Linked DNA regions of Sus scrofa. The protein of the gene in region 1 interacts with the protein of each later gene in a biochemical or structural test. Links are inferred from orthologs where the notes say so. Each region holds a gene or a part of one and is shown in the gene's direction. Other genes may lie near its edges. The genes, in order: MED23, ELF3 and SREBF1.

The links.
Region 2: the proteins of MED23 (region 1) and ELF3 form a complex in vitro, tested with the Homo sapiens proteins (4 studies listed by BioGRID, with this or other methods). The link is inferred for Sus scrofa from reciprocal best matches to the Homo sapiens genes MED23 and ELF3.
Region 3: the proteins of MED23 (region 1) and SREBF1 form a complex in vitro, tested with the Homo sapiens proteins (2 studies listed by BioGRID). The link is inferred for Sus scrofa from reciprocal best matches to the Homo sapiens genes MED23 and SREBF1.

The regions. Positions count from the first base shown.
Region 1 is NC_010443.5:31,965,467-31,971,073, forward strand, and holds part of MED23 (mediator of RNA polymerase II transcription subunit 23), read left to right. Parts: intron 1-1,334; coding exon 1,335-1,433; intron 1,434-2,489; coding exon 2,490-2,591; intron 2,592-3,012; coding exon 3,013-3,082; intron 3,083-4,626; coding exon 4,627-4,739; intron 4,740-5,607. UniProt on the Homo sapiens protein: Required for transcriptional activation subsequent to the assembly of the pre-initiation complex. Component of the Mediator complex, a coactivator involved in the regulated transcription of nearly all RNA polymerase II-dependent genes.
Region 2 is NC_010452.4:24,235,329-24,241,035, forward strand, and holds the start of ELF3 (ETS-related transcription factor Elf-3), read left to right. Parts: upstream 1-2,523; 5' UTR 2,524-2,544; coding exon 2,545-2,671; intron 2,672-2,989; exon of another isoform or gene 2,990-3,060; coding exon 3,061-3,231; intron 3,232-3,477; coding exon 3,478-3,699; intron 3,700-3,813; coding exon 3,814-3,909; intron 3,910-4,000; coding exon 4,001-4,120; intron 4,121-4,245; coding exon 4,246-4,551; intron 4,552-5,522; coding exon 5,523-5,707. UniProt on the Homo sapiens protein: Transcriptional activator that binds and transactivates ETS sequences containing the consensus nucleotide core sequence GGA[AT]. Acts synergistically with POU2F3 to transactivate the SPRR2A promoter and with RUNX1 to transactivate the ANGPT1 promoter.
Region 3 is NC_010454.4:60,738,822-60,744,528, forward strand, and holds the start of SREBF1 (sterol regulatory element-binding protein 1), read left to right. Parts: upstream 1-2,490; 5' UTR 2,491-2,599; coding exon 2,600-2,618; intron 2,619-3,946; coding exon 3,947-4,378; intron 4,379-4,775; coding exon 4,776-4,963; intron 4,964-5,045; coding exon 5,046-5,183; intron 5,184-5,260; coding exon 5,261-5,482; intron 5,483-5,707.

The DNA.
Region 1 (5,607 bases):
AATCTTTTTTGTTGTTGTTGTATTTCCTGAAGGGATTTAAAATTCCTGTGTTTCCCACAGCTTCTCGGCTCCCATCCCAACATTCTTAATACTAGAGGTGGCTGATAAATTTCTGTAGCAAGTAGGGAAGTCAGCAAGCAGACTCTGGGTCCCTTCATGCCACAGATCTGAATGGTGTTTGGGCCCCTTTCAAATCAAAGGGCACAGAGCAGGGGTGTGTGGAATGAGAAGGGACACAGACATCAGCTGATGAAAGGAGCGGGTCCTGCTTCCCTTTGACCTCTGTTGGGTACATGTTTTTTCAAAACTGGTATTTTCAGCACTCTGTTCTTGACCAAAAACAACAGCATACCCTCTCTGATTGTCTCATAATACAGCTCAGGAGCCCTGTAGCTGTAGAATCTGCTGCTTCATCAAGCTACTTTTGTTTTTTTCCATTTTGAAAGATTTGCCAGTACCTCCCCTGTGCTTTATGTCCGTATTTTCCCTAATCTAAAATGACTTAGCTGACAGTTATTGGTTAGAATCATGATTTAGTATAAAATCACTTCTGAGAAGCTTTTTCTGATTATTTTCTCTCTATTTGTACTTCACTTTCCTTAGCATTTTAATATGTAGTTTTTACTTCTTTACTTACTTGTATGGTGCTTTATAATTGTTTCTCATTTCTTTCATGTATATGTTTCATCTATCTCTTTTACAAGATTGATCTCATGGTTTATATTATAGAATGAAATTTCTCTACATATCGCATTCTGCTCTGAAATAATGCAGCTGGTAGTAGATATGAGTAGATGACCATTAACAGAATAGCTTTATTAGATAAGTTGGGAGGATTAAAGTATGTGATGGATTATGAGGAGGGGAATAAAGTTAGAATATGCCGACAGGAAGGAGCTGAAGGAGTCATCTACCAGAAAGTTTTATATCATTATCCATGTTTTCAGAATATTTTCAAGTTCTATTCAAACGTATTTCTGTCTGTTAAGTTCAAATTAAGGGTTTTTTTGGCACTCATAATAATAGAAACTCTTTTAATGTTATGAAGGTCAAAAAAGCTTAGTAGAGTGTGGAAAATTTAATTTTTATTTATGAGCGAGTTTCTTTGTTCATTTATACTGCAAGCTGTTCTTTACAATTCTGTTTTGGAACATGATACTTCTCTTGGGTTAATCCTAAGGGCTTGAATATTAGCTCTAGTTCAGAAAAATTAAAAGTATTACCTTGAAGATAACATTTTTCCCCCCAAGTATATAATCTTGGAACTTTTAGATATTTTAACTAGCACAGGTGACATTACTTAAGTTTAACATATGACTTTTCTATTATATCAGGGTGTTCGAGATCTTTTAAAAGTGATTTTGGAGAAAATCTTAACAATTCCCAATACAGTGAGCTCCGCTGTTGTACAGCAGCTCCTAGCAGCAAGAGAGGTAATTTAAACATTTCTGCAACTTGTTGATCATGCCTTAAAAAAAGTTTAATATTACATAGTTCTGTGCTTGTAAAACTTAATGGTAGTTTGTAAAATCTGCCATTTGCTTACTTTTGCAAGAATCAGGCCTTTTTTTTTTTTTTTTTGGCTGCACACATGGTATATGTAAATTCCTCGACCAAGGATCAAATCCAAACTGCACCTGTGACCTATGCCACAGCTGTGGCAATGTCAGATCCTTTTTTCCCACTGTGACAGGCTGGGGATCAAACCCACATTGTTGCGGAGGCAATGACAGATCCTTAACCCACTGTGCCACAGCCAGAACACCTAAAAATCATGTCTACTTTTAAAAATGCTATTTCACTTTCATTATATTTGAAGAGGAAATTAAATTTTTTTTTTCTTTTTGGGGGGCACTCATGTGGCATATGGAAATTCCCAGGCTAGGTATCAAATTGGCGCTGTAGCTGCCAGCCTACGCCACAGCCACAGCAATGCAGGATCTGAGCTACATCTGCAACCTACACCACAGCTCACTGCAACCCTGGATTGAACCCATGTGCTCATGGATACTAGTTGGATTTGTTACCACTGAGCCATGACAGGAACTCTGAAATTTTAAATTTTAATTCATAATTTTTAGTTAAAAAAAACAGATTTTAATTCATAATTTTTAATTAGGAAAAGAACAATATAGATATATTAAAGTATTTCAACCCTTATAGGAAGTCAGCCTAAGGAACACTCAAAAGATTGCTGTGTTTTGTAACTAATGTTGTAAGAATTCTTAGTCTGTTGCTTCCTGTTGGAGTCTACCAGTATTTAAAGCATTTTCAATGTCATTTATGAACTGTCAGCAATCCATTCTATTGCTTATTATTCTTCATTTTTAGATATTCTCCACTTACAAATAATTTTTTAATGCTATAGCTTAAGCCCAATGAATGAATGAAATGATATCGCTACCTTTTAATACCATTGTTGCATTTGAAGGGCTTATCTATGGGAAAGGTGAGTCAAAATAATAACATTGCCCTTTTATTTTACTTAGGTTATTGCATATATCTTGGAAAGAAATGCTTGCTTACTACCAGCATATTTTGCAGTTACAGAGATCAGGAAACTATATCCTGAGGGAAAACTTCCACACTGGGTAAATTTTTCTAAAATTTTTACTAGAAATTTGTATTAAAAATAGTTATATTGATTTTATTTTTATGTGCTTGCTTTTTAAAAGTCATTTTATCTGTAGATAATAATCATTTTTTATTATGAGATGATATATTTCTTTCATTTCTTTGCTATTCTGTTGAGACAGTTTGTATATCATTGTGATCAAATATACTCAGCTTCATTAATTAGTGAAGGACATGGTGGTATGACCTGGCTTAATTCAGGGATAAATGAACTGGTAAATAATTGTTTGGAAGAAGCAAAAGAAAACTAATCTTTGAGTAATTTTATGTGTCAGGAATTGTATTAAATCTTTACATATTGTTTTATATAAATGATCCTTGTATTGAGGAAAATCTTGATTTTATTTTTATACTTATTTGTTTTCTGTTTTGTTTTAGTTACTTGGAAACCTGGTATCAGACTTTGTGGATACTTTCAGGCCTACAGCAAGGATAAATTCCATTTGTGGTAGGACTATAATCTAAAATATACCAAACAGTACCCAATTTTTAGCGATCTGACTATTGAACAAAGTTAATGCATGGTATCTAGTACATGTCTTCATGACTTACACAAGGTATAACTCTAGGAGCTTAATAATGGCCTTTTGCTTGTTTTCAGGTACTTTGTGCTGAGCGTAAGGAGGGAAAAGCAACTGTCTGGACTGGGTCTAAGCTTGAGATAGAACCATTCTAGAAAGTGTATTTCCCAGTGATTAGAGGGAACTTTCAATAGTTAGTGTCATGGAATCTGTAGACAACTGAAAGTCTCAATGGATCTGTCCCTCTCTGGCTGTAGTATACAACATTATCTGACTCTCTCAGCCCATACTAATTTACATCTTTGCTCTGTATGTCGTTTATTTTCCATTTTTTCATGTTTGTTAGATTCTCTGAGTTTTCTTTTAAAAATAAATATTTATTTTGCAATTTTTGCAGGGATCATATATTTTCCTGAATTTTTTCTAGAAATCTTGGTAGCCTCTGAACAGCCTGGGAATATAGACTTTTTTTTTTGTCTTTTTGCCTTTTCTAGGGCTGCCTCCCATGGCATATGGAGGTTGCCAGGCTAGGGGTCTAATCGGAGCTATGGCTACCGGCCTACGCCAGAGCCATGGCAACGCGGGATCCGAGCCATGTCTGCAACCTACACTACAGCTCACGGCAACGCCAGATCGTTAACCCACTAAGCAAGGGCAGGGACCGAACCCTCAACCTCATGGTTCCTAGTCGGATTCGTTAACCATTGCGCCACGACAGGAAGTCCAGTATAGGCCATTATTTAGTCAGTGACCAAATTTTGAGCATTTTCTATGAGTCAGGTGCTATTCTAGACACTGAAAATACAAAAATAAAGAGACCCAAGATGGATAAACCTCAGGCTTCTAGCTTTTGTAACTGAGTGGATATTGACATCATTTAATGAATTATGGAAGTGGTGCAGGTTTGAGAAGGATGATGATGAATTTAGCTTAAGTGTTGTTGAACTTGAGGTGCCTGCAGGGCATCCCAGTGATAGTGTTCATCAGGCAGTTGGATGCATGAGCAGACTGATGGTCATATACAACATCCAAGGCCTCTAGGAACATCATGTTTAAAGTTACTCATGTTGACCCTAGACTAAAGGTCCATAAACGTTTTCTGTAAATGGTGATGTAAGAAATATTTTAGGCTTCATGGGCTATACAATCAATTGCAACTACCCAACTCTGTCATTACAGTGCAAAAGCAGAAGGATTCCAATAAAACTTTACAAAACAGGTGGCTAGCTGGATTTGGTTCATGGGTCGTAGCTTGCCGACCTCTGTCCCTGGATAGATGGAACATCTGTGAGTTTGGAAGGCCCGTGCAAATTGGTCTTTAACCATCTGGAAGGAAATCCCCAAACTTCCATTTAATTAAAATATTTTTTAAATCAGTGCCTGGTTTAGCATATGTATTCATTAAATATTTGAAAAACCAGGTGTTACTGTGTTCACATTTATTTAGAAACATTTTTTGTAATATGTACAGGCCGCTGCAGCCTTCTGCCAGTTGTAAATAACTCGGGTGCCATTTGTAACTCATGGAAATTGGACCCTGCAACTCTCCGTTTTCCTTTGAAAGGCCTATTGCCATATGATAAGGTATGTTACTAAGTATAATGGAACTTTTGATCCATTAAGAGTCTTTATCCTGGATTATATGATGTGTAATGCTAAATTATCTTTTCATAGACTAAAGAAGTGAATATTTAATGAAAGATAGTTTATGATTTATCATATGATTTCAGTATGCAAGTATAGCATGTGGTTTTTCATATTGCTGATGTTTATGTTCCAGTGGTCCACCTCTAGCAAAACACTTACAGTTAGAAACATGAATTTTTCTTTTTGGCCTTGCCACAGCATATGGCAGTTCTTAGACCAGGCATCGAACCTGCTCCACAGCAGTGACCTGGGCCACTGCGGTGATAACGCTGGATCTTTAACCCACTGCCTCACAAAGGAACATCAGAAAATTGAACTTTTAAATTAATTCTTTGTTTTCATTTTTCTTTACAAAGCAAGGACCAAAAATGAATTTGCAGTATTGCTAAAATCTGAAGAGTGAGCCTCCTCTTTGTTAGATTTTTTTTTTTTTTTTCAAAAGGGAAGGGGCAAGGGAGGACAAAAGTAGAGTAGAAAATTCTCAAAGAAAAAAAAATACAAACACCCATAAAATGAAATATGAGATATGGACATAAAGTTCTAATGAAGTTTGATAAATTCATTTTATCCATCTTGGGGTTTGCAGTGGTAACAGAGCAGGAGGTGCAGAGGGCAAGATTGTTTTCATGTAAATGTTTCATGTTAAAAATGATGTACAGAGGGATTAGGAAACTTGTCTAAAAGGAGGGTTAAATAGTGCAACTGAGGTGATAGTTCTGGGCTCTCGGCACGTTAGTTAGCAAAACTTTGGAATGTGAAAAAGTGGTAAACTAAATGGAATATGCCATCATCATGATAATAATAA
Region 2 (5,707 bases), on another chromosome or scaffold:
GCACCTGCGGCTCTGGGGGCCGCCCCCTCCCCAGCTGAGTCTCTGGGATTTTTTTCCTCTTTTTAATTTTTTTTTTCCTTTTTCTTTTTTTTCTTTGGCTGATTCATGAAATACTGTGCAAAGGGCTGCATTTTGGTGATTCTTTTTCAAGTTTAATCGCTCTTTTAATAAATATTTTTTTTTAAGTGGAAAGTATTTGACTGTGCCGTTCCTTCCCCCAGGATCCCCCCACCCCACTGCAGTTCTCATCAGGTCAGAGGGACCCAGAGGACAGTGTCCCCTCTTCTTAGGTCCCCTCCCCCACCCTGGGCTGGCAGAGGAGGGGGGTCCCACAGGAGCATATGAAAGATAGAGGGCACACCTCTCAAGCACAGCCTCTGCCGAGAGAACCTGTGGGTGAGCTGCTCCTCTTCTGCAGTGCCCCCCCCATCTTTTCCATCAGTGCAAATAAACTTGCAGTGGACTGGCTGCAAGGCTGTTGACACGGGCCTCCACCCCTCCTCTGCACAGGGTCTGGTGGGCAGTGGTCCTGGGCACCTGGAGCTTCCCCAACACAGGGGCGCCCAGCATACCATCCTGGCTGTCTGTTACGGGAAGGGCTGTCCAGATGCCTCCCCGCTCCCTTGCGTTCTGCACAGATCCTGCGGACCCAGGAGCCTCCTTTCTCAGCCTAGTTTCACAGCTGGGCGTCCTGGGGCTCACAGCCTGTGTCCCCCACAGTCCTGTCCTTTCTTAGGTCTAGAGGTTGTGCCACTGCTCCCGCATCTCCCCCTGCCCCCCCCCCCATCCCCCTGGCCACTCCAGGCCCTGACCCCTCCCCACCGCTACATCACCTGCTAAGGGAGGCCAGCCCACAAGCACGCTTGACAGCCCCACTTCTCCCAGGAGCCTGAGGCCTGCGGCCTTTCTCCCTGCTGCCTCCACATCCCTCCCCACCCCAGCCTCAGCCAGGTACTCTCCCCTGGAGCACGTGAGCTATCCTGGGGCTGGAGCCCAGAGCTGGTTCTCCCACATTCCAGGGCGAGGGACTGGGTGGAGGGCGTGCCTGGGGCTGTGGGGGAGGCCCCCCCCCAAGGGCTGGGGCCCTGCTCCCCAGGGCCCAGGCCCCCCACTCCCGGCTCAGTGGAAGGGGGCCAGACCCTCACTCCCTCTGCGCATCCAGCAATTTCAGAGCTGAGACTGGAAGCAGATGCCAGAGGAACGTCTTATTCCTCGCAGGGAGGGTTAAAGGAGGGGGCTGGGGGGCGCCCAGGACTGTGTGGGGGGGAGATACTCAGATCCTGCCTCTGCGATGTGGCCACGAGTGAGATTGGAGGTATCTGAGGGACTATTGTATCCAAACACACTCTTTTTCACGGATGGCAACCGGAAGAGACCCCAGAGGTCTCCCGCCCCCTCGCCACCTGGCTGCCCTCCCCCCGCCCCACAGGGCCTCGGGGGTCTGCAGGACGCCCCTTGGGGTCCGCAGTGGGGCTGGGTTCATGGAGAGGACCCTGTGTGGAAAGGTCACCTTGCCCAGAGGGAGGGCGAGGTCGACTGGAAAGAGCGCCGGGTGGGGGAGTTAAACCACAGCTCCACCACTTAACTAGGTCCGCGTGGCCTGGGCGGGTCATTCAGCCCTCGAGCTGCAACCTCCCGATCTGTAAAAGGAGGACAACCACACATTCCCGCCGCCGCGCTGCCCCGCCGCGTCCCCGATGCGGGCGAAGGGCGGGGCCTCTGGCCGCTAGGGGGCAGCAGGCAGGCGCCGGCACCCGAGGAGCGGAGGTTAGACGGGGAGGTCAGACGGAGGCCACAGAGAGCCGTAAACACCCGCACGTGGGGCCAGCGCCCTCTGCAGCCCCTGCCAGCACCCCCTTCTAGGTGGGCTCCATCAGGGGTCCGGGGGGTTTCTGAGCAGAGCCAGGTGCTTGGACAGGGGTGACCGTGATGCTTGTGGGGCATCCAGCAGGCAAAGAATGCCAAGACCTTGCCAACAAAGGAGAGGACAGTGGTGGGCCCTGTGGCTAGGGACGCCAGGGCCCTACCCAGACCCCCGTGAATGTAGCCTGGTGTCTAGAGAGCCTTCCAGCCTGAATCCTGGGCATCGTGGGAAAAACCCCAGACCTCAGTATCTTCTCTCCCTGCTCCATCCCCTTTGTCTTCAGACCTGCAGACATTGGGGGCCGGGAGTGTTCCCGACCCAGCTCTGACCCAGTCACGCACCCTCCCCTAGCCTGTCCCTGCCTGGCCCCCCTAAGGAATTTCCTGAGCCAGGGGGTGGCCGAAAGTGCACATGCCCACCCAGCGGCTCTCGGCCCCCCGCCCAGGCCACTGCCCTGTGCCCAACCCCAGAGGGTGCGGGATGACAGACCCTGACAATCATTAAACCAGCAGGGCCTGACTTCCCAGCACCGCAGCCTGGATCCCAGCCAAGAGGCACAAAATATGCAAATCACCTGGGGCCAGGAGCCCAGTCTAAAGGCCAGGAAATCCCCTCGACCAATGAGCCACCAGCTCAGGTTACCGCAGGCGCCTATAAAGGCCTGGGCGGGCGGAGCTCAGATGCTTGTTCTTAGGGCGCCGGGAGCGCAGCCAGAGCCTCTGCGCACCACCACCTGGCAGAGCTTGTCCCCGGATTCTTCCCGCCTGCTGTCCCCTAACCTGCCTGCCACACCCTCAGCCGCCACCGGTAGGACCCCAGCCCATCATGTTACCCAGCCCGGCCTGGGGACACTGGGGGTGAGGGGGCACTGGGGAACCTGTGTCTCCCCCAGCAGTTCGCAGGGTGGAATTCCCAGCCAGAGTGCAGGTGGTGTCCCCAGGGCCTTGTCCTGGGGGGGACAGACTGCTGGTCCCACTCAAGGACCCAGGTGGGCTGAGGAGGGAGCCTGGTGGGGGGCCTTGTGCCCCCACCCCTGCCCCAGCTTAGAGACCTTGGAGCCCTTATGGAGGAATAGGTGTCCCCAGAGCTGTTGACCTTCGCGCCCTTGGGCCCTTCCTGCCCCAGGCTTGGCTGGAGCAGAGTGGCTGGAGGGTAGGAGAGGACCGGCCCTCATCTGCCTCGCCCTCCCTTCCCAGGGAGCCTCATGGCCGCAACCTGCGAGATTAGCAACGTTTTTAGCAATTACTTCAGTACGATGTACAGCTCGGAGGACCCCACTCTGGCTTCTGTTCCCGCCGCTGCCACCTTTGGGGCCGACGACCTGGTGCTGGCCCTGGGCAGCCCACAGATGCCCCTGGAGGGCCCAGGTGGGTCTCAGGCTGCGGTGGGGTGTTTGAGGAAGGGGAGACGAGCATCTAAGAGCCTGTGGACAAATGGGGGTCAGGCAGGGAGGGCGGCTGGGGTGAGCTGTAAGCAGTTGGCGTGCTGGGGTTTGGGGGCCGGGAATGGTTGTGAGCAGTGCTTCCTGCCCCAGCCTGGCTGGGTTCTCGGAGAGGCACCCCAATGGGCTCCAGAAGGGGGCTGACCTGCCGCCACCTGCCCGTCCCCTGCAGAGAAGGCCAGCTGGTCGGGGGAGCAGCCCCAGCTCTGGTCCAAGGCCCAGGTTCTGGACTGGATCAGCTACCAAGTGGAGAAGCACAAATACGACGCCAGCACCATCGACCTCTCGCGCTGTGACATGGACGGGGCCGCGCTCTGCCGCTGCGCCCCTGAGGAGCTGCGCCTGGTCTTCGGGCCCTTGGGGGACCAGCTCTATGCTCAGCTATGGGACCTCAGTAAGTCCTGGAGGGGCCTTCCCCGTCAGGGAGGCTGGTCTGGGGAGCCGCCCTAGAGGGAGCCCGGGGGAGGGGAGAGGAGCCAGCCTGGGCCCTGATCCCCCTTCTTATCAGCTTCCAGCTTTCCTGACGAGCTCAGCTGGATCATGGAACTTCTGGAGAAGGACAGCATGACCCTCCAGGAGCCCCTCGGAGACCAGGGCCCCTTTGGTGAGAGTCTTCGGCATCCCCAGCCTGTCCTCCCCATTTCTGCCCGGTGCCACCCAGTCAGACCCATCTGAACCCTCCCCTGTTCTCCCAGACCAGGGAAGCCCCTTCGCCCAAGAGATGCTGGAGGACTGCAGACAGCCCAGCCCCTTCTACCCGGGCAGCTTCAGCGCGGGAGCCCCCTCCCCAGGCAGCTCCGATGTCTCCACCGCAGGTGAGCCCGGCTGGCGTCTGCCCACAGCTCCCCCTGCCCCAGAGGCCCTGGCTTCCCTGGAGGATGGATGGGAGTCGGTGGGCAGCAGTGTGGCTGGGAGGGGCTCACACCCACTCCCTCCCCAGGCACTGGAGCCTCCCAGAGCTCCCCCACCTCAGACTCCGGTGGAAGCGACGTGGACCTGGACGCCCCTGACAGCAAGCCCTTCTCCGGGGGTGAGCCGAGGTCTCCTGGTCCCCACGGGGGGTCCCACTGGCAGTGCCTGGAGCCAGCCCCCATCCCTCCCTACCCTGACCCACCACCTCTCCCCACAGATGGCTTCCCAGACTACAAGAAGGGGGATCTGAAGCACGGGAAGCGGAAACGGGGCCGCCCCCGAAAGCTGAGCAAAGAATCTCGGGGGTGTCTGGAGGGAACGAAGAGCAAGCATGGTGAGGGGGGGACCTGCATGGTGGGGAGGGCTGAATGGTGGGAGGGGGGCCTGCGCGGTGTGTGTGTGGGGGCTCACACCATTCCTCCCTCCTGCCCTCATTGCAGCTGTGCCTGAGGCCAGGGCCCTGGGTATGGGTCACTGCCTAGCAGCAGAGCTGGTTGGTGGTCCCTCAGGGGGGCACCTGGGGAAGGCTGGAGGTGGAGTCTAGTCTCCCTGCCCCTGCCCTGTCCTGCCTGGGGGGCCCATTTGCTGGTGGGAAGAGGCTGGTGGGTGCTGGGCAGGCTCAGGCAGGGACAGTGGCTGGGCTGCTGGATGCCCCGCCCACTGAGGGCTGGGCCAAGGCGGCCCTTCCCCTACCAAGTCCCTGCCCGCTGGCCTCTGGCCTTGAGTGAGTTCCCACCACCCTCCCCACTGGGAGTGTCCCTGCAGCTCTTGCTCATCCATGCTGCCTGCCCCCTGCCCCCAGCTTTGGGCCTGTTTTCTTCTTGGGCTTCTTTCCAAGAAGCTGTCCCCTTGGCCCCCAGGCTGGGGCCAGCTCTGTGCTCCTATACCTAACAAGCTCTCACCACTAGCTGGTGTATTTGCTTTGTTTTACCATGACCCCTCCAAACCACAAGCCCCTCAAGGCAGTGCTATGTCTCACCGCTCTGGTATCCAAGCCAGATATTTGATCAGTATTGGAGTGTGTTTAATCTCTGTGCTGTGTGAGACACGTGTTTTTGGAGCTTCCCAGCTGTCCAGTGGGTGAGGCGAGGAAGGAGGCAGCCATCAGTAGGCAGCATGCTGGGCCAGGCAGGGAGGCAGCCATCAGTAGGCAGTGTGCTGGGATGGGCAGGGAGGCAGCCATCAGTAGGCAGCATGCTGGGCCAGGCAGGGAGGCAGCCATCAGTAGGATGTGTGCTGGGATGGGCAGCAGTCATGTGAGTTGGGGGTGCCCTGGGCTACTGACTGATGGAACTGGCCTTGTAGCCCCCAGAGGCACCCACCTGTGGGAGTTCATCCGTGATATCCTCATCAACCCGGAGCTCAACGAGGGCCTCATGAAGTGGGAGAACCGGCAAGAAGGTGTCTTCAAGTTCCTGCGCTCCGAGGCCGTGGCCCAGCTGTGGGGTCAGAAGAAGAAGAACAGCAGCATGACCTACGAGAAGCTGAGC
Region 3 (5,707 bases), on another chromosome or scaffold:
CCACGGTGCTCGGCAGCACCTGTGCCTCCACTCTTCCATGTATCTGCAGACTGTCGGTGTCCCTTTGCTAGAACGTAAAAGGCCCACAAGGGAGGTCTTCAGGCTGTGTCCCTGTACCCCAGGGCTCAGCACAGGCTGGACATGCAGTAGACGCTTCGGAATTGACAGTCGATATTGTCAGTGAAACAGATCTGGGCTTCATGGACCAGGTCATGTGGGGAAGGTGGTGAGCTCCCTGTCCCAGGAGGCATGTAAGCACAGTTTGGGGTTCAGGGTCTCATGCAGGTTGGATGGGCCATGGGCTCCTGTGATGGTCAGAGCAGGACTCGTGCAGGCTCGTGGTGTGGGGTGTTCCCAGGATTTGCAGCATGGCGCTCCCAGAATAAACAGGCCTTTAGAGGGAGGTTTGAAGGTAGAGCCAGGGAGGGCGGGAGGGGGCTCAGGTTTCCTGTTGGGTCCTGATGGAATCCGGGCAGGAGAGGAGGAAGGAGAGGAAAAGGAGGGTCTGGCTTGGGGAGGGCGGGAAGGTGAGGAGGGGGGCAGGCGGGCCCACCTGTGCCTCTCTTCCCTGCGTTAAGGGCACGCGGGCCGCCCCTCCTGCCGGCAGCTGAGCCTGGGCTCACTGGAGGTTGGGCCCCACTTGGGGGGAACCCTGGCCAGCCTTTCTCCCGGGAACTGGGGTGAGACAGCGGGGAGCTTCCTTAAACAGTGTGCCCTGGGCGCCTTTCTCGCCTCCCAGAACCCCCTCCTCCGAGATCAGGGGTGAGGGACTCCCCTGGGACTACACAGCAAGGGAGGGCTGGGGCGCAGGTCCAGCCCCTCTTGGCCCTGGCACCCGGCTGCTGCAGAAATTGGCTCTATGTGTGTGTGTCACGGGGGTGGGAAGTCCAGTCGGGCCATGAGTTCAGGGGTGGCCCTCTGCATGCCACCAGGTGCCTGTTCCTCACTGCATCTTAGCTTAGGTTGTGTCTCCCGGCCTGCCTGGGGTGGGCCCCAGGAGGTGGCGGCAGGGCCGCTGGGAGCCTCTCCTTCTGCCTCCTTGGTCTGGATGCGTTGGGGCAGGGCATGGCCAGGTGAGAAATGGGAAGCACAAGAGTGCGGAGAAGGGCAGAGGAAGGTGGCTCCGGTGGGGCGGCCGGCCACGGCCCTGCTGGTCCACCTGCCAGGTCCTGGGCTCACACACGGGAGCACAGTGAGGACAGGACCTGCCGTGAGTTTGAATTCAGACCTCGTGTCTTCTGGTCTCAGTCAGGCGAGGTCAGAGCCTTCCCAACAGCAATGTCTTGTGTGACTTTTCGGGTGAGGGCCTGGCAGAGGAGAGAGGGAAGTGGAGGTGCTGGAGAATTCTGCTGCCCTCGTTACCCTCCCGCACGGCCGTGGCCACGGCAGGAGCCGGGCAAAGGGGGAGCGTGTGTGTGGGAGAGGCAGCCTCCTGGAGAGGGAGAGCATCCGGCCAGGGCTCTCCGGCCCCCACCTGCCACCGGCCCCCACCTGCCACCGTCGGCTCCATCGGCCCCTCTAAGGCTGCGGGAGACCAGGAGAGGGAGCAGGGCTGGGCCCAGCTGTGGCTGGAGGCCGGCTTGAGCCCTGGGGTCTGTTTGGCCGCAAAAGCCCAAGCTGGCAGCCTGGGCTGCTGGCCAGGCTCTGTCCCTCTGAGTGTGTGGCGCTCTGACCTTCGAAGCCGAGAGAGGCCCAGGTGGCCCCCCAGCGACCCCGAGCCTGTCACCCTCCGCCCCAAGGCCTGCCCCACCCCACAGCGAGTGAGTCAGGCTCCCCCCTGAGACTGCTGGGGAGTGTGGGGGTGGGTTCGCCTTCCCGGACCCCCACCCCAGACCCTGGCCCCTCTGCAGAGGGCGTCAGCTCTGGCTGTGCACTTGCGGTGGGGCTGTCCCTTCCGCACTCGCTCAGGCTCCAGGCAGTGGCCCGGCCCCGGCCCACGGGGTGGGGACTCACGCTGGGGCTGCCGTGAGGGGGAGGTCCCCGCCCCCACGGCCAGACAGCCCTTCGCCTCACTTGAGCCTGCACCCATTACTTGTCCCCGTCGATGCAGGGAAACGTGCTCGTCCCATTTTCCCGGAGCGCACTGCGACTTAGCGCGGTTGAGACCCGCGGCGGAGGGCTGGGCCATCCCTGGCCCACCCCCGGCCCCGCGCCTCTCAGCCCCCGCAGCCCCTTCGGCCGCACTCTCGGAGATGGCGGGACGTGACCGCCAGTAACCCTGCGGACGTCGGCGCGGGGCGGGTTAAGGGCCGGCGTCCGCGAGTAACCCCGGCCCTCTGCGGCCCCGCGGGGCGCAACCCGAACCGCGCGGTGGGGGTGGGGCGGGGCCGGGGCGGGGCCCCGGGAGGCGGTGGCGCGGCCGCTGATTGGCCGCGCGCGCTCACCCCATGCCCGGCCCGCGGCCCCGGGGCGGGGCCGGCCGGCGGGGCGGGGCCCGGGCGGGGCCGGCGAGGGGCGTGGCCGGCGGCGGGCGCTCGGGGCTTTCGCTGCTTTAAAGCGCGGCGGGCCGGCGGCCCTCGGCCGGTGGAGTCCGCGCGCGGAGACCGGCGGGCCAGCCGCCTGGACGCCCCGAGGGGCGGCGGGCGCGGGCCGCGGAACCATGGACTGCACGTTCGAAGGTATTTTTTGAGGACCCCCACCCCTTTATAGCAGAGCTTCCGTCTCCGCCGTGGGGTCCGTGCCCCCGTGCGCAGGGGGGCGGCCGGAGCTCCGAGTGAGAGCCCGCTCCTGAGGGGAGGAGCACCCGCTCCCGGCTCTCCGGGGACCTGGCGGGCCCTTCCCACCTCCGCAGTCACCCCCACCCCAAGCTCCGAAGCGAGAGGGCAGCTCTCCCACATCCCCTGCCGCCCAGGGAGAAGGGCCGCTCGGGCCCCCCTTTGGGGGCGTATGGTGGGCTTGCCGGACGGACAGTGGAGCCCTGGGTTCGGGCGCTTGTTCTTTCTGGGCCTCAGTTTCCCCATCCGTGGAAGGGGCTCAGGAAGCCTGGGCGAGGGGCTCCAGCCGGTGGAAGCAGCCTGTGCCAGTAGGCTAAGGGGTCTCCGAGGGCCCAGGAGGGCTCAGCCTGGCACCCCCCTGCCCTGCTCTGCCGGAGGTGTCGCAAGGCCCCCTGCGCAGTCACTTTCCCGCCGGAGCACCTGTCAGGCAGTGTCGAGGCCCCTCTCCTGCCGCTGGCTGCCTGCCTGCGGAACCTCTGGCTGCCCTGCCACAAGGGCTTTCATCTTGCTGTTGTGCACATGAGGAAACCGAGGCCCAGGGGCAGAAGCCACTGGCCCACACCCCACCGCCCGTCGGTGGTGGGCAGAGCTGGAAGCTCAGGCTGGGGATCACACTTGGGGTTCCCACAGTTTGCTCATGGGCCTGCAGAGCACTCCGACCCAGTGGGTGGCTCCCCCAGTGGGTTAAAGGGCCCTGGGCTGACCCAGCCGGGCTGCTACTTGCCTTCTGGGGGAGAGGGCCCGTGGCCGGGCTGGGGCTGTGGGAGGGAGGGTGTCCCAGGCGGCACGAGGAGGAAGGGGAACAGACAGCCAGAAGCGACTGCTTCTGTGGAGCGGAAGCCGAAGCCCAAATGGCCGGTTCCGAGGCTGCCTGGCTGCAGACGGGGCTTGGGCTTGTGCCCAGAACACGCAGGGATGCACTGGCTGGCGCACGCGGGGCAGGGGCTGGCTGGGGCTCCCCAGAGGGCTGGGTTGGGGAGGCAGCTCTGGAGCTGGTAGTCGGGGCCCAGGCCTCGGAGGGCCTAGCCTGCGTGGCACTGGCTCGTCCAGTGTCGCAAGGCTGTTTGATGCACCAGGCAAAGCTCCAGATGTCACAGGGGCCAGGGCACATCTGTGTCCTCGAGCATGGGCGCCCGTGTGTGGCTTTCTGTCTTGGTGGCGTCGCTCCCACGTGTTACCACGGTGTGGACGAGGGCCGCGCAGATCCGTGACGCCGCCTCTCCTCCCCTCAGACATGCTTCAGCTCATCAACAACCAAGACAGCGACTTCCCCGGCCTGTTCGACGCGCCCTACGCTGGCGTTGCAGGAGGCACGGACCCCACCAGTCCTGATGCCAGCTCCCCAGGCAGCCCGACGCCGCCTCCTTCCACCATGAGCTCCCCGCTTGAAGGCTTCCTGGGGGGGGCCAGGACGCCGCCACCGCCCCCCGTGTCCCCAACCCAGCCTGCACCCACCCCGCTGAAGATGTACCCGTCGGTGCCTGCCTTCTCGCCTGGGCCGGGCATCAAGGAGGAGCCAGTGCCACTGACCATCCTGCAGCCCCCCACCCCACAGCCCCTGTCTGGGGCTCTCCTGCCCCAGAGCCTTCCAGCCCCCGCCCCTCCGCAGTTGAGCCCTGCCCCCGTGTTGGGCTACCCCAGCCCTCCTGGAAGCTTCTCCTCAGGTAAGGGGGCGTGTGGAGGGAGGGGGCAGCGGAGCACAGGGTCAGGGGGCTGCTGTGGTCTGACTGGAGGTCCCACTTGGTGGCCTTTGGGAACAGGGTCCCTGCTCTGCTGCTTGAGGCGCCCCCGTCCCTAGCAGCACCCGGGCTCCTGTTGCCGGCGCACTGCCCCTGCTCCCCTGGTGTCCGCAGCAGCGCTGCCCTTGCGCAGATAAATGCGTGGCTGGGAAGCCAGCACACTTGCATCAGAGCCCCAGGCAGGGCCTGTCCAGATAGGCCTGAGGCCACAGGGGTGGTGACTCATCCAGGGTCACACGGTGATGAGGACGGGGCAGGACGGGGCGGGTTGAAGGTGGGTCAGGGCGGCCTGTGTCCACAGCCCCAGCCTTTGTCTCTGCAGCGACCCCTCCAGGGAGCACCTCACAGACGCTGCCTGGCCTGCCGCTGGCCTCTCTGCCCGGGGTCCCGCCCGTCTCCGTGCACACCCAGGTCCAAAGTGCGGCCCCCCAGCAGCTGTTGACAGCCACGGCCACCCCCGTGGTGTCCCCTGGAACAACCACTGTGACCTCGCAGATCCAGCAGGTCCCGGTGAGGGGGCTGGCCAGGCACCAGGGAGGTGGCAGTCCCGGCCAGCCCCTGAGCCCCCAGCTGAGCCCTCTGCCTTCCTTAGGTCCTGCTGCAGCCCCACTTCATCAAGGCGGACTCCCTGCTCCTGACGACCATGAAAACAGACATGGGGACCCCTGTGAAGGCGGCGGGCATCGGCTCCCTGGCCCCTGGCACAGCCGTGCAGGCAGCACCTTTGCAGGTGGGCAGCTCGGGCCAGGCAGGGGGCATGGGGTCTGCATGCATGCCTGCCTGCCCTAACCGTGCCTGGGCCCGCAGACCCTGGTGAGCGGCGGGACCATCCTGGCGACGGTGCCTCTGGTAGTGGACACTGACAAGCTGCCCATCAACCGCCTGGCAGCTGGGGGCAAAGCCCTGAGCTCAGGCCAGAGCCGTGGTGAGAAGCGGACGGCTCACAATGCCATCGAGAAACGCTACCGCTCCTCCATCAATGACAAGATCATCGAGCTCAAGGACCTGGTGGTGGGCACGGAGGCGAAGGTGCGGGCAGAGGCCCTGGCAGGGCGGCCCTGGGGAGGGCCGCCTGGAAGGCAGAGGCGGGTGGGGCTGAGCCTGGACAGCCAGGGCCCAGGGGCTCCGTCTGTTGAGCTAAGCTTCATGGAGGCGCGTGTGCTGCGGGCTCTCCTAGGCGCTGGGGACTCAGCAGGAACAGACAGGCACCCCGCTGTCAAGCACCTGTGCTCCTAGCAGCGTGCCAGGGGCGCC